Linked DNA regions of Arabidopsis thaliana. The protein of the gene in region 3 interacts with the protein of the main gene of each other region in a biochemical or structural test. Each region holds a gene or a part of one and is shown on either strand. Other genes may lie near its edges. The genes, in order: ATMYC1, TT8 and PAP1.

What was found.
Region 1: the proteins of PAP1 (region 3) and ATMYC1 form a complex in vitro, tested with the Arabidopsis thaliana proteins (one study listed by BioGRID).
Region 2: the proteins of PAP1 (region 3) and TT8 form a complex in vitro, tested with the Arabidopsis thaliana proteins (one study listed by BioGRID).

What each region holds. Positions count from the first base shown.
Region 1 is NC_003075.7:216,947-222,676, reverse strand, and holds the start of ATMYC1 (basic helix-loop-helix (bHLH) DNA-binding superfamily protein), read left to right. Parts: upstream 1-2,895; 5' UTR 2,896-2,992; coding exon 2,993-3,141; intron 3,142-3,267; coding exon 3,268-3,555; intron 3,556-3,895; coding exon 3,896-3,992; intron 3,993-4,117; coding exon 4,118-4,132; intron 4,133-4,276; coding exon 4,277-4,333; intron 4,334-4,434; coding exon 4,435-4,923; intron 4,924-5,001; coding exon 5,002-5,412; coding exon of another isoform or gene 5,413-5,421; exon of another isoform or gene 5,422-5,443; intron 5,444-5,496; coding exon 5,497-5,557; coding exon of another isoform or gene 5,558-5,571; exon of another isoform or gene 5,572-5,635; coding exon 5,636-5,730. Other genes in the region: BAM2 (beta-amylase 2), read right to left, coding at 28-255. UniProt on the Arabidopsis thaliana protein: Trancsription activator, when associated with MYB75/PAP1 or MYB90/PAP2.
Region 2 is NC_003075.7:6,179,567-6,185,296, forward strand, and holds the start of TT8 (basic helix-loop-helix (bHLH) DNA-binding superfamily protein), read left to right. Parts: upstream 1-2,314; 5' UTR 2,315-2,500; coding exon 2,501-2,637; intron 2,638-2,856; coding exon 2,857-3,108; intron 3,109-3,489; coding exon 3,490-3,586; intron 3,587-3,774; coding exon 3,775-3,789; intron 3,790-3,871; coding exon 3,872-3,928; intron 3,929-5,612; coding exon 5,613-5,730. UniProt on the Arabidopsis thaliana protein: Transcription activator, when associated with MYB75/PAP1 or MYB90/PAP2. Involved in the control of flavonoid pigmentation. Plays a key role in regulating leucoanthocyanidin reductase (BANYULS) and dihydroflavonol-4-reductase (DFR).
Region 3 is NC_003070.9:21,232,736-21,238,465, reverse strand, and holds PAP1 (production of anthocyanin pigment 1), read left to right. Parts: upstream 1-3,173; 5' UTR 3,174-3,376; coding exon 3,377-3,497; intron 3,498-4,037; coding exon 4,038-4,167; intron 4,168-4,256; coding exon 4,257-4,752; 3' UTR 4,753-4,911; downstream 4,912-5,730.

The DNA.
Region 1 (5,730 bases), on a different chromosome or scaffold from region 3:
ATCATCCAAATGAAATTCCACACTTACGAGCTGATCAGTAGAATCGTCGTCGTCATCAATTGGAACTCGATCTTCCTCAGTACTCTCTGCTCTCAGTTTCACCTTCGCGAGAACCAAAGGCCTAGCACCGGAAAATGTAGAAACACCACGCCAATCTCCAACGCTGAACGGTAACGAGCTCCGAGCCGATACTCTCGTCGGAGCTCCAAGCTTCACGCTCACTGGAATTACACTATGATTCAACCTAATCGCCATCACTAAACCAAAATTATCTCAAATTCAGTTAAAATTGGATTTTCGTGGAATGTGAAATCAAAAGCCACGTGAAGGCTTATTCATGGGATCCAAGAATCATTGGTTGGTTCAAATCAATTTTGAAATCCTAAAAAAGTTTTCAGGATTCACTCAGATCCGTTGAGTACAAAAGGGTTTTGTCTTTTACCACTTTTTTTCTAATCCACGTGGCGTGACCTGACACGTCAGATAAGTACGCGCGTTGCAACTTTATCAAGGGGCTTTTGTGAATATTACTATGGGCTTTTCAGAATATATTATTGGGCCTGTAAAGTCACGTCACTAAAAAAAGTAGTTTATCTACATCAAATGTGTTTATTATTTAATAACTTTAGTGTGTTGTTGTACTTGCACGAGTGTATATGAATTTAGAATAATACTATCTTAAACAATCGGCTAAGCTATTTATAATCTGTAAGATTGATACTAACGATGTAACATTAATGTATTAATCCGAAGACAGTCGTGCATTGTAGTGGCAAATGTTGTATGTCAGATGTGTCGCGTCTGTAATCAATGCGCTACGTCTCTCTGTCTTAACAAAATCATTGAAGCTTTAAATTTGAATTTCATTATTTTACAATTGCATTTCTCTCGTAAGTCGTAACTTTCATATTCATTTTTTGAAGATTTTTTAAGGATAAAATGTGAATTACTATTACCAAAAGAAACATTGTTATTTACTTTGGGACAGCTTCTAGATATGGACCCCAACAAAAAAAAAAAAAAAAAAAACTGAAACTAATACAAGTCAAGACCCAACTATAGTAACTAGGTTTGGGTGAACCATTGGGACAACAATCTTCCACAACCTTTGCGATATTGTCACGGATGGTTATGTCAATCTGCCACAAAACAATCTTAGGAGAGAACTTGAAGTGTTGTGCAATCTCTCATTTCTTTCTCTCCGAAGAAAGAAAATTGTTGCTTGTATAATGAGAATTAAAGACTTCAAGTTCTCACTCAACTTTAAATTTATCTAACTTTTCTCTTTGTCGTGGTTCATGTCGCTTCTTTTTCATCCTGAATGCAATTTGATATAGGATCCCATTGGTTAGGATTGTATATGTTTTGTAAAATTTAGGGTAATATATAGACTTTTATACTATAATTTTATTATTATATACATTTAAAAAATGTCTAGGGCATCTAAAATTAAATTAATTGTTTCTATGAAAATAGAAAATATAAACACAAACATATGGCTATAATGAGTGTGTTGTGCCAACAGAAATAATTTATAAAATTAAACACAAAGTTTTGTCGTTATGGAAATAAATGTGCATGCAACCACAAGTGGTGCGTTACTAAATTATGTAGGGCTTCGTGGATAGAGATGGATCAATTATTATTTTCACGAGTTTCTTGCCTTCATTTCAGCCAGCTCTCTCCTGATCTTGCCTTCAATTTTATTACTATTTTTTTACTGCCACTTGCTATATTTACTTACTTCGGACAAAATAGTGCTTTGATGGTAAACAAATAACGATCGGTATATGCGATGTCTCGCGATTGATTATCAAACTTGAACAGTAGTGTGTATTTGTTTAATATATAATCTATTAGAGTATCATGGAATTATTCGGGTGAAATGCGCATTTATATCTATCATAGAAACTAGAATCTTCACTATCCAAATAGTATATTCCATTTTCTTGCAACTACGTATAACTACATTCTGTTTGTCATATATTTAAGATCGAGTAACAAAAAATTAATCATCTTCATTGATGTGAGCCAGACAAAGAGTTCAATTTTTTTGGTTGTTAAAGTATGTTGATACTTGATACGTTTACCAAAACACAAAAAAACAATGTAGGTCGATACGTTCCATTTCCACACAACAAGATAGATACAAATATATAATGATTGTAAGACAATAAGACCCCGACATGTCTTAACACGAAAAAAAAAGTAACTAAGTTTATATAAACCAACACAAGTTTAACTAAGAATCTAAGAATCTCTACTTTGTTGATTTCATAAGTGTATTCATCTAAATTAGTTATAAGTACAATGTAATATCAACATGTATTTATATTGTCTCTTGTTGGATATTAACTATCCAAACCAAACCTATAATATGAAATCATCAAAACATTAATCATTATGGTCAAACTATCTCAAGTTGTATTCTTTAAAAAGTGTCACGATAAACTCTAACATCATAGTGGATTTAAGACAACACAAATCCAAAAGAGTTAAAAAGATCGGTCTTAAATTTATGATTCATATCCATGCATGATGTTGGCCAATCACCTAGTATAGTAGTAATAACCAAGCTTTTGACTAAATGAATAGGAGGAAACAAAAAAACTATATTGAATCTTTCTTTTTGCAATATTTTTCAGCATCATCACTAATTTAGAGAATATTTTACCTTGGTTTTCACCAAATAGAATCCAACACTATTACCATATGTATTGTATAAAGATAAGTCACTCCAAAAACCAAGATCATGACCCAAGTCAACCACTCTCTCTCATAATTCAGACACAGTACTCAACTTTAAAGACACTCTTTTAAGACTTTCCATCAGGACCAAGCTGAGAAAGAGAAAGCAATAAAGAAAGAAAGAAAAGGAAATAAAGCTTCAATACCAAACCCTTCTTTAATAAATTTTGCCTTTTGGTTGTCTCCTCTTTATCAATCACTTTGGTTCCATACTTTTAAATTCAGTTCTTCACGATATCTAGATATGTCTTTGACAATGGCTGATGGTGTAGAAGCTGCAGCAGGAAGAAGTAAAAGACAAAACAGCTTATTAAGAAAACAACTTGCTTTAGCTGTAAGAAGTGTTCAATGGAGCTACGCAATCTTCTGGTCGTCTTCACTTACTCAACCTGGGTAAGTATAATCTAATATTCATCATGTACCAAAATTATCAGATCTTGTTGTTCTCATCTTTGCATTTCCATTTTCTCTTCTTTTAAATCTTGGGTTACTTATGAGTACTATGTTCTACTAATTTAGGGTTTTGGAGTGGGGAGAAGGATGTTACAATGGAGATATGAAGAAGAGGAAGAAGAGTTATGAATCTCATTATAAATATGGGTTGCAAAAAAGCAAGGAGCTTCGGAAACTTTATTTGTCTATGCTTGAAGGAGACAGTGGTACTACTGTTAGTACTACTCATGATAATCTCAATGATGATGATGATAATTGTCACAGTACAAGTATGATGCTGTCACCAGATGACCTCTCTGATGAAGAGTGGTACTATTTAGTCTCCATGTCCTATGTCTTCTCTCCTTCACAATGGTTTGTTCTCTCACTCTCTCTCTCTCTTCTCCTATGAATTTGTACACTAAAATATATTAGCTCTTGTGAACTATTCATATAGAAAAACCAATTTGCAATAAAGAAGTAATGAGAAATGTCCTTTCATTTTAAGATGAAACATCCATCACTTTGGGTAAAGAGTTTAGTACCACCAAAACCATTTGGTAAATAGTGGAGTGATTATTCCTTTGGGGTTCCTTTTTGTTACACTTTCACCTTTTGCATTTTAAGTAATCCTAGATTAAGTTTTTTTTTTCTCTTTTATGATCATTAATTATTGTCATTTTGGCTTTTTTGGTTGTTTATGTATATACTTTAGTTTGCCTGGAAGAGCTTCAGCGACGGGTGAGACCATATGGCTCTGCAACGCTCAATATGCGGAGAACAAGCTCTTCTCTCGTTCTTTGTTAGCAAGAGTAAGTTCTCAGAAACTTCTAATTTCCTCTTCTTGAATCTTGATATATCAAGATCGAATCTGACTAAAAATCTCCTTTGATCTTCTTTGCTTTTCATTACTGTTCATATGGCTTCTCTCCTTTAGAGCGCATCAATTCAGGTACGTTATAATGTTTGTTATAACTGGATTCTGATTGTTAGAAATAAAAGTTTAGTTCTCTTATTGTTAGAAATGAAAGTTTAGTTATCTATATATCAATTTGGATAGAAGATTTATAGAATGTATCTGTGTTGTTATCTCCAGACTGTTGTGTGTTTCCCTTACTTGGGCGGAGTCATTGAGCTGGGCGTCACTGAATTGGTAACTCTCCATCTTAATATATAAAGTTTTACTTTTGTTGCTTGCTTCACAAGAATTAAATATACCTTACTTTGTTTAATTTTGTTCATGATCAATGAAAGATTTCAGAAGACCATAACCTGCTTCGAAACATCAAATCTTGCTTGATGGAAATATCTGCACACCAAGACAACGATGACGAGAAGAAGATGGAGATTAAGATCAGTGAAGAGAAGCATCAGCTTCCATTAGGTATTTCTGATGAAGACTTGCATTACAAAAGAACCATTTCAACAGTACTCAACTACTCCGCAGATAGATCAGGTAAGAACGATAAGAACATTCGTCATCGTCAGCCAAATATTGTTACTTCTGAACCTGGCTCAAGTTTCTTGCGGTGGAAGCAATGTGAGCAGCAAGTCTCGGGTTTTGTTCAGAAAAAAAAGTCACAGAATGTGTTGCGGAAGATATTGCATGATGTCCCTTTGATGCACACAAAGAGAATGTTCCCAAGTCAGAACTCTGGTCTGAATCAAGATGATCCTTCAGATAGAAGAAAAGAGAACGAAAAGTTCAGTGTCCTTAGAACTATGGTTCCCACTGTCAACGAGGTAATAACTCTTTTTCTAAATCCTTAGAGACAAGACTGTGTTTCAGAAGCCAACACTCTGTTTTGAATCTTTGTGCAGGTTGATAAAGAATCGATACTAAACAACACAATCAAGTACCTGCAAGAACTGGAGGCAAGAGTAGAAGAGCTAGAATCTTGTATGGGATCAGTTAATTTTGTAGAAAGACAAAGAAAGACGACAGAGAACCTTAACGACTCTGTGTTGATCGAAGAGACATCAGGGAACTACGATGATAGCACGAAGATCGATGACAATTCAGGAGAAACCGAACAAGTCACTGTTTTCAGAGATAAGACACATTTGAGAGTTAAACTCAAAGAAACAGAAGTTGTGATCGAAGTAAGATGTTCTTACAGAGACTACATAGTTGCGGACATCATGGAAACTCTGAGCAATCTTCACATGGATGCTTTCTCTGTTAGATCTCACACGCTCAATAAGTTCCTCACATTGAATCTCAAGGCCAAGGTAAATTAATCTTACTGATGTTTGGAAAAGGCAGATTTGGGTTTTCTTGACTTACACGTAACGTTTTTGGGTTTATGCATGCAGTTTCGCGGGGCTGCAGTTGCGTCCGTAGGAATGATTAAGCGAGAGCTGAGAAGAGTCATTGGTGATTTGTTTTAATGTTCTTCTTAGTAAAAATTCTTATATTTTCTTAAACTTTTGATGAAATGTTATATTTATCTAGACTTTCGTGAACCGATATGCGATGTGCCATTATCTTTACATCAAGTTTTCAGGGTTTTTGTATGTAAAGTTTGCCAAAGTTTGGTTGGAATTTTC
Region 2 (5,730 bases), on a different chromosome or scaffold from region 3:
TGATCTAGTAACACTTCATTTCCAAAGGACAAATCATACCATTATATCCACCTTAGGATCATGGACTCATGGTGCCAGATATTTTGCATCATTGCCAAGCAGAATGAAAGATTTTCCTCCACAAGAGATTTGAGTTTATAAATATTTGGTGAGATTTAACAAAAAAAAAAAATATATATATATATATATATATATATATATATATATATATTTGGTGAGATAAGTCTTAACTTGCTACATTCAAAGAAACTAATTAAACCAAAAACCAAACACTAAAAGAATAGTAAATCGTCAATTTCATATTAGATGAGCTAATAAAGCATCACAGCAATAAATTTTGTCTATCTCCATCACTTACACCCTTTTTTTGTAGATAATGTAATTTCTTCCTCAAGATCTGAAGAATCATAAATCACATAGTTTAGTCAATGTTACAATACACACGACTAAAAGAAAAATTACAAAATTTTATTGATAGAATTTAAAATATACCACTAGACACTAGACTTTTGTCTTTTCATTAGTCATTACCGCTTGATATTTTTACTATCTTACGCATGTTATGAAAGATTATAAAGCTTAGGTTTTGGGTAGCAAAAAAGGGTTAGGAAAAAGAAAACCATACTATTTGTTATCCGAAAATGTCAAACTAATTCCTCTAACTGTGGTAAAAGGTTATAAAATCAAATCCTCTAGATTGATGTAAGTGATTTTTAAATCGTTATTCGGTCAGATCACAAGTTAATGATGAACTTTTCAGGGTTCAATACATGGCGATTTTAGCCATGGATCCCCAACGGGATCATGGGATTACGGTCCAACTGACCGGTTTGGACCGGGTCTTAATATATTGAACAAAATACAAGAAATCTCTCATTCACACGAATGATTACATTTCAGAAAAAGAAAGAAAAAATAACTCAAAAAACTTCACACCAATTTGCATCACACTATATTACCCATTATTTTTCTACAATTATGTGGTCCACTTTTCAAATAGTTCACTCTCATCATAAACCGGCCGGGGTCCTTCAAAGCTCATGCAGTTGTGCGTTGTAAAGATATATTGTATTCCAACAACTAATTCTTGCCAAAACACTTTTGGCTAATGTCATTTTCATTGAAAACAAAGCATTATAAATAGGAATGATTTGTCATTTCTGGAATGGAAGAACTTGGGTTTTAGTTAACATTTGTGCCTAACCAACCTCTCGTTTATGTACTAAAGCATTGTCCTTGTGATTGTGAATAACCAATCGCTCATTTCTGTGTTAGAACAGTATTGTTTATTTTCTGTTATTTGAATCATTTCCAATGAGAAATGAGTTACATAACACCTTTATTTATAAACACAAAGATGCACACAAGGAGAAGCAAAATCAATAAGAAGAAACCACTCCACGTGGCCCGTCGTCAGAGTTACATAATTGGTGAACGACTAAACTCAGAAGAAACAACATGTAATAAGAAACACAGAAGCAGAAGCAAAAGCCAAGCAACATTTATTTTGTCGACAAAAAAGCCAAGAAACATTCAATGTTGATTTTGTCTAAGTAACCAGGTGTACATACATTACCCTTAACCATACCCAAAATCGTATGTACTACGATATGTGTACGTAACAGTATCTATCTACATTTATATTTTATAAGACATTATTAAATGGGAAACTTATAGTGGCTAGTGGCTGCTACTTGGCTAGCAATTAACATCAATAATTTAATAACTCAAATGTGAAACATCTCATTCTTCTCCTTTATTACACCAAACCATTTCTCATTCTTTACTTACCGGTCAGGTCAACAATTCTACCATTCCCCATCTTTGGTTAAGTTTATCTTTTCATTTTAAAGAAAATATATATGAATGTTCATCCAATAATTCCAACTTCTTAAAATTGTTAATGAACATTTTAATCAATATATAATTTTAATATCAATTTTATAAATAATAGAAATGTGAAAAACGCAATTTCTTTGCTCCTTGTAGCAGTAACACAAGTCAAAGCAACATTTGTTTTCATTTGTTTGTCAGTTAGCTATTTTATCTACAATAATATGTTATGCTTTCTGAACAATAAATAAATATAGCATTATTAGATATATTCATTCTGTATTTTGATTTGTCCAATTAGTATATGACACGTCTACAAGATACATAGATCTTTCATTATTTCACTTTCTCATCCAACGTCTGGTGAACCAACCATTCAAAAATCAAAAGTCAACTTTTAATGCACTTGAGTTTTGGTCATGCATTCATATACATACATATATACATAGAAGTCATTACATGCATTATACTTTACTTATGTCAACATGTTGCAAAAGCACTAAGATGATATACGTATACATGCATATTGCAAAAATCAGTGGTCCCATACCATTTTAAGTCATCATGAGCGTATGAGAGTAAATTCTTCTCACATATTAATAACAACCCTTCAAAGTTATAAGATTTTTAGAGAGAGAGCTACCACGTTTTCGTATCTCCGGGAACGATGGATGAATCAAGTATTATTCCGGCAGAGAAAGTGGCCGGAGCTGAGAAAAAAGAGCTTCAAGGGCTGCTTAAGACGGCGGTTCAATCTGTGGACTGGACTTATAGTGTCTTCTGGCAATTTTGTCCTCAACAACGGTTAGTTTCTTATCTCTATAGTTCATTCATCTCTCACAATACAACCATAATATCTATATCCGTATATATTATGTAAACTATATGTTTAAATGAATTCGGCTAATTGTTGGCTTGTCGTAGTGTTACAATTCGATCTTGAAATAATTTTTTTTTTTTTTGAAGGTTTTACAAAATTTATTAAGATTTTTGAACTACTTATATGAAAGTATCATTGTTTAGGGTCTTGGTGTGGGGGAATGGATACTACAACGGTGCAATAAAGACGAGGAAGACAACTCAACCAGCGGAGGTGACGGCAGAAGAGGCGGCGTTAGAGAGGAGCCAACAGCTCAGGGAGCTTTATGAGACACTTTTAGCCGGAGAGTCAACGTCAGAAGCAAGAGCATGCACCGCATTGTCACCGGAGGATTTGACGGAGACAGAATGGTTTTATCTAATGTGCGTCTCTTTCTCTTTTCCTCCTCCATCTGGGTAAACAACTCTCTCCCTATACTCAAGTTTCTAAATTTGTTCTTTCTTTTTTTTCCTTCTCTAAGTGAAGACAAAAATAGTATTGTGTGTTAAATGCGAATATCGAAAATATTGTGTTGACATTAAAGAGAAACTGAGGAAGTTGAGTTACTAGAATAAGAAAGAAATGAGAGTTAATGAAACGTACACACACTACATTTTCATGAACATTATTGCGACCGTTGAGATTCTCATTGTTTGGTGATTGATTATCTAAAGTAGAAGCATGAATAGATATAACATAAATGCATAACAAAATGGGTTAGTTATGGGTATACTTCATGCTTTTCTCTATGTGGTAAAAAAAAATCAAATATAAATTTGGGAGGTAGTAATTTGTAGGATGCCAGGAAAAGCGTATGCAAGGAGGAAGCACGTATGGCTAAGTGGTGCAAATGAAGTTGACAGTAAAACTTTTTCTAGAGCTATTCTCGCTAAGGTAAATTCTTTTATTCATTCACCAACTATACTATGCATCTATTTTTACCTATTTATGTATACACTATACTATGTATCTATCTACTTGTAAACCTATTTATCTATACTTTTATACATTTTCACTGATTAACTTGAATAATTCTTCTTGTCGTTTTATGGGCCTTTTACGTCGGTTCCTCAATGACTTAGAGTGCTAAAATTCAGGTAAAATTTGTCTTTATTAGTTTGCTCTTTTTAGTAAGATTTGAGAATTGTATTCTGATGAAAATGTATTTTAAAAAAGCAGACAGTGGTTTGCATTCCAATGCTTGATGGTGTTGTGGAACTAGGCACAACGAAAAAGGTAACGTTGTATATACTCTCTCTTTTATTTACTTGTTAATGAAATATATAAACAAAATAACAAAGTGAATATAGCCTATCTTTCTTTAGGTTTAGTAATGTTAAATTAAGGAGATGCACTACAAAAAAAAGGTTGTTTTACATCATTTATTATAAATATTTGCATTAGTTAAAAGTGATGTAAAAGAATTTTGTATCACTTAAATAAGTGACTTAAATATTGTTGATGCAAATAATTTGCATCAGTTAATTAGTAACTGATGTAAATAATCAAAATAATTACATCGATTATTATAATTGATATCAATATTGTATCAGTTACTAAAAATGATGTAATGTTTACATCAATTTATTTAAGTGATGTTAGTATTTGTTTCGGTTTAAATAACTGATTTAATTAATATATATATAATTATTAATACAATGTTATTAATATTTCAAATAATTATTTTATTTATTTCTTTTTTTTTTTTAAATAACAGATCATTGTGGATAATTACTCGTTGGAATATCTACTAAAATTTTATCAAGATTTAATAAAATATTTTACATGAACAATAAATCTTTATATAAGATAAGCAAAAAAATAATCATAATTTGGTTTTGGTTTCTTCGTGTTTAAACACATCTTTCTTCTGTTCCATGCTTCTTCCTTCCATTAACTGTTGGTTCTTCTTGAAAAATACCATTTCTTCTTCTATGCCATCTCTCTTCCATTTACAGAATCAAAATCATACTTTGGTTATAACTTATATCTCTTGAATCCTCATCACACTTGAGTTTCTGCTGTACAAAATAAAAAAGAGAGTAATTGTTTGAAAATTTACAGAATTGTTTTGGTCGGAATAAGAATAACCATTTGTAAGTATTTTTAAAAGAAAGTGATAGAGTACCTTTACTTTGTGTTTCTCCAAACTGTGTAGGAAAACAAACAGTCCTAATGATCAATGGCAGATTTCTGAAAATAAAAGAAAAGAAAAAAACTGAGCAATGGTTAAGAAAAAGAGAAAGATAGAATGATAGAAAAATAAGAAAGTACTTGTCGTTGAAGATGAAGAATTGAATGAGAGTTATGAGATTTCAAAAACTAATTTGAAGATATTCTAAAAACGTTTTTGGATACAAAACTGTAAAAAAAGATCGTGAGCGTAAAAGCAGGATTTATAGTGAAGGAAACAAATATATTTAGTTAGCTGATTTTGAGGGAAAATATAGGAATTAATAATAAATTATTAACCCAATATGATTATTTATTTATGGTAATAACAATTTCTCGTCATCTACAATAAATTCAAGTTAGTTTTTTGTTTAAATTAAAATACAGAAAAACTTATTAGCATCACTTCTTATTGATGTATAATTTTATATCATTTTTATAAACTGATGTTAATAAAATTAAGTGAATACATCGGTTATTTAATTGGTGTAAATACAGATTTTTGTATCAATTTGTTAAAATGATGCAAACTAATACAAATTTCTATCAATTTGATTAAAGTGACGCTAAACATGTTAATTTATACATCACTTATTATAATTGATGTTTAATTATTTATTTTGTGTCATTTGCTTATAAGTAATTTAAACTTGTACCATTTATACTTGTGATACTATTTAATTGATGTAATCTATCCTTTTTTTTGTAGTGATGGATCAATATTTATTTGTTGTATTTGTGTGTGTAGGTAAGAGAAGATGTAGAGTTTGTTGAGCTCACAAAGAGTTTCTTCTATGACCACTGCAAGACGAACCCAAAGCCGGCTCTTTCTGAACACTCCACCTACGAAGTGCATGAAGAAGCCG
Region 3 (5,730 bases):
GAACCAACCAATACAATAAAAACATGATCGGTGATCTCTGGTAGCTCAACGACTATTATACAAAACATAATTACAACGACTAAATGAACATGTTATACACCTATACTCTACAATCCTCTCTGCACCGAGATTCAATAAACTAAATGTAGGTCACTATATATTAGCAAGCACTACTACTCGTTGAAAAAAAAAAAAACAAGAATGTCGAATTCTCCAATGTTATTTTTTTTTTTTCCTAATGATAAAGAGGAAAATCACCAATTATAGTCAATTATAGAACAATTGTTTCCTTTTCTTGTAAGAGAGAGGCTAGAGCAAACAGATTAATTCACCATATAGAAGATGAGACCAAAAAAAAAAAAAAAAGTCTACAAAGTCAAGGGCACTAAATCATAAAAAACCCAAAATCTCAGATCTATCAAGAAAACGACTATTCCAAAAATGGAAATTATAAGAACAAAATTCTTTGGACAGAGATCAAACAAGAAAGGAACGAGAAAAATGAACTTTAGGTACCTTAGATTATCCAAATTTGTAGCTGCAAAAGTTGTTCCTGTGTTCAAGAAAGAAAGACCTGTAAAATGATCTGGATGTGTTTGGTTATATATATAAGAAGACTTAAAAGATAATGACTTAATCTCGTAACGAGTCACACGGACGTGACGCTGAAACTCACACACGTTGGTGCCACGTCTTTGTCTTTCCTCTTTTGCTCTACTTTTTTCTCCTCATAGGTGATAGGTCCCATAAGCAATGAAATAAAAAAAATGGTAATTGACTTTTCTCCAAACATTTTCGAATCTGATTTTCTTTTTCAAGGTTTTATAACCTCTACATTCCAGAATATGACTAATGACATCATTATCCAATTATTTTTTATACTGTAAACTCATTATTATGAATATTCTTTATTTCAAAAAATTACCATTGATTTATAAGTTTATTAGTATAATATATAACATATGGAATAAAACTTTTATTTAAAAAAAAATATTTTTCCCCAAAAAAAGTAGGATTAATAACCTGATTAATAAATAAAAAGTGTTATATTTTTAAGCATTGTATGCATTTACTTTATCATAGTTGTCTTGTTTTTAAGAGTTAAAAAATAATGATGAACAATTTCACGGACAACGATTCCACGATAAAGCTTTCCCTGCAACACTCAGATTTTCTAAAGACGGTTTTGCATTGCGTTTTCTGGGATTCGAAACCCAAACATGATGTACAAGTATTAATGAACTCTTAGTTAACCATTAGATTAAAAATATTTTCACTATTAATTTTCTCTTAAAAATATTAATAATTTTTTGAAATCAAAAATTATAGTTATTTTATTTTAATAAACGAGAAACACTACAAAAAAAGTTAACTGCATTTAGATAATTTAATAAACTAAAATATCCACATAAAAATTTCAAATTTATCAAAAATAAAACATCAATTTGTTTTTTGTTTTAAATTAAAGATTTGCTATTGATTGCATAAGGAAGAAAACTTTACAAAGCCGAAAGGCCTAAGAGCCCAACACACACAAAAGAAGAACCATTTTGGATCAAGGGAACCGACCATGGGTATTAGAAGTAGTGGTATAAAGCCCATCATATCCCAACACATAACCCACGAATGTTTAATATTAAAAGTTTGTTGTTCGGCTCATGATTAGCGATGATCATACAGAAAGTTTGTATCTAATACGTGCCTTGAATTTTATGTGTACAACAAACAAATTAAATTATTCAAAACCATAAATTATAAAAAATAATTACAGAAATAAAACTATATTAAGAGCGAGCCTACCATCCGGTGTGCAACTTTCTAGTTTATATACAGTGGCGGATCAACGTTAATGAGGCAAATTGGTTCAAATTCATCTAAATAAGACTAGAGTTCACAGGTTCGATTCCTCCTTATAACAATTTGCTCCCACCAATTTTTTTTGCTGGGTCCGCCCCTGGTTATATATATACTTCTACACCAGGTTTGGGTTCGAGTCCACACATAATTAACGACACAATTATAGTGCACGATAGAATGAACTAAAACAGCTAGAGCGTAGAGGGCTCATTGTCTATAAAAATCCTTCGTTAACTTGCAAGAAACCAAGAGTAGAGGGCTCACACTTAAGTCTCCTACATGACGATTATATTTCGTCAAAAAGAAGCAATTAGTTAGCTTTACAGCATATCATTTCGCCTAGGTTTTCCATCGTACACGTAAATTTTCATGCAAGAAAGCAGAAATATACAAATACTAACTTTTAGATACTGAAAAATGAGATCAGATTCTAGTCAAATTTTGTTAAAAGTATTTATAAATTTAAATTGCAAGTCCTCAAAAAGTACGACTAAAAATGCTTTTCTTAGAAAATGATAATAAACCGGCGTTTTATATATAAGTGTTTCTTTTTCTCTTCTGTCCAGAAGTAAATCATTAAGAACCAATATGGCTTTTCTTAAACTAATCTCCGTGATAATCAAATCTTTGATCATTCTCCACACAATCCCATCAACAACATCGATCTCACTAGATGCACCAACAATGATTCTAATCGGCACTACTAACTATAGAGATAGTTGTCCCAAAAAAAAAAAAAAAAACTAACTAGAGAGATAAATCATATTCAATACATGTACTATTTCTACTATACTTAAGAAAATTTGTATACCACTATCTTAACTCTTAACACTGAACATACTATACACTATCTTAACTCCCAACTCTTGTAAAAGAATATCTAATTTTAAGAAAAGACTTCAAATGCTTGTTAAATTTCTAGTGAAGATGCACATTCTAAAAACTGGTAAAATGGTAAGAAAAAAATATATAAAAAAATAGCCTTATTAAAATTTATATCTCCTATTTCTCTATCCAAACTACACGGATGAAGCTTATTGTTATTCATCCACCCTTTTTCTCAATTCTGTCCTATTTCTTGTGCATGAAACTTCTCCATCTTGTAATCGGATAAATCATACCCAAATTTTTTCTTTCTGAAAACATATATACCCGAACATTAATTACTATCGTCCTTTCTCCTAATTTTGTTAAGAAACATGTTTGTTTGTTTTTAGTACTGAAAAAGGATGGAGATACTTGCTAGATCCTATGAACCTTTTCTCTCTAGGACAAATCAGTAACCAAACAATAACTTAGCAAATTAAGCACGACAGCTAATACATAAAATGTGGATATCAAACATGCACGTCACTTCCTTTTTTCCGTCACGTGTTTTTATAAATTTTCTCACATACTCACACTCTCTATAAGACCTCCAATCATTTGTGAAACCATACTATATATACCCTCTTCCTTGACCAATTTACTTATACCTTTTACAATTTGTTTATATATTTTACGTATCTATCTTTGTTCCATGGAGGGTTCGTCCAAAGGGCTGCGAAAAGGTGCTTGGACTACTGAAGAAGATAGTCTCTTGAGACAGTGCATTAATAAGTATGGAGAAGGCAAATGGCACCAAGTTCCTGTAAGAGCTGGTATGTTATTTACGAACACACACACACTAACCGACACACACACACACAAATATGAATATCTATAATCACTACCAATAGTCTTCGTTCTCTCTATTTTCTATTCAGAAAATTGATTAATACCCGGTATTAAAAAAAAAAAAAAAAATTTGTTTAAATGAGTACAAATCATTGTTACAACTTCTTTATGCTGTTTTTACATGCTATTAAAGGTTGTGCATGAAAATTTCTTTTGCTGTTCGTATTTGTTTTACACCTAAACGAAGATTTTTACTTAAAATTAAAGAAAAAAAATTATACTAATTTTAGTTACGTTGCGTATTGCTAGCTTCTCCTATAAAGTCGTTCAAATTTTTACACGCTTGTCTTCTTGTAAATGAATTCGTGGGAAAATTTTGTATGAACACGTGTTTCTGTGTTGGAACAGTTCTTTATTTTTATTGGTGTGCATAGATTCTTCCTGATAAAATATATAGAAGGAGACAAATAAAAAACAGTCTTAGTATGTAGGTATAATCAAAGAATCAATTATTGGTTTTGTAGGGCTAAACCGGTGCAGGAAAAGTTGTAGATTAAGATGGTTGAACTATTTGAAGCCAAGTATCAAGAGAGGAAAACTTAGCTCTGATGAAGTCGATCTTCTTCTTCGCCTTCATAGGCTTCTAGGGAATAGGTATTAATTGTTACCTCGATACTACTTAACTCGGAGAGTCGTCATAAGTTAATACTAATAACATATGTATATTTTCTTACAATTGTTAGGTGGTCTTTAATTGCTGGAAGATTACCTGGTCGGACCGCAAATGACGTCAAGAATTACTGGAACACTCATCTGAGTAAGAAACATGAACCGTGTTGTAAGATAAAGATGAAAAAGAGAGACATTACGCCCATTCCTACAACACCGGCACTAAAAAACAATGTTTATAAGCCTCGACCTCGATCCTTCACAGTTAACAACGACTGCAACCATCTCAATGCCCCACCAAAAGTTGACGTTAATCCTCCATGCCTTGGACTTAACATCAATAATGTTTGTGACAATAGTATCATATACAACAAAGATAAGAAGAAAGACCAACTAGTGAATAATTTGATTGATGGAGATAATATGTGGTTAGAGAAATTCCTAGAGGAAAGCCAAGAGGTAGATATTTTGGTTCCTGAAGCGACGACAACAGAAAAGGGGGACACCTTGGCTTTTGACGTTGATCAACTTTGGAGTCTTTTCGATGGAGAGACTGTGAAATTTGATTAGTGTTTCGAACATTTGTTTGCGTTTGTGTATAGGTTTGCTTTCACCTTTTAATTTGTGTGTTTTGATAAATAAGCTAATAGTTTTTAGCATTTTAATGAAATATTTCAAGTTTCCGTGTTTACATTTTGAAGAAAATAAAATATTAATATATTCTGAAGATTTTTGTTTTTTTTTGGTTATCTACATGACAACAGTAAAAATAGAAAAAAAATCTTATTTTTTGAAAAAGGTATGTATCCGGTGTTTAGAATACTTTCCGAAATCAAACCGCCTATATTTCTAATCACTATGTAAAATTGTAAACCAATTGGGTTAAAACTCAACTAACAAACTTTCTAAATAAATGTCATTTTTGTTTTCAAATATGATTGAACTCGGATTTAGGAGTTTTACCCTTCAGTACCAAACCTTCTCTACCGACCATGTATGGTTGGGCAAATGTCATGTTTTACAATGTTTAGATTACTAAACACTTTGGTTGAGAAGGCAATGCTTTATTTATATATTCTGAAGTCATGTTTTAGTGTTATTTTTATTTATTTTTAAATGCATAGATTGTTAACGTGCAGATTCTCATATGGGCTTAGTTTCTGGATTTTGATTATCAAAACCGTATTCCACTCTTAAATGATTACGACAAAAAAATCAATACTACTAACAAACCTATTTCCCAGTTATTAATTAGTCAATAACAATTGTCAAATTTAATAACGTACTTGCTAGTAATAAAGTTTTAACGACGATCATAGATAGGTTTTTGAAACCCATACTCGCAGAAGTTCTGATACAAAAATTTGTACTCCCTCTATTTCAAAATATTAAATGTTTTAGATAAAAGCACAATGTTTAAGAAACTAATTAATCTTGAGTTTCTTACATTATAAACATAAATTAATATCTATTAAAAATAATTTGACCAATGATATAACTTACAGCATAATATAAATAGTTAAAAAAAAACTGTTTACTTTAATAATT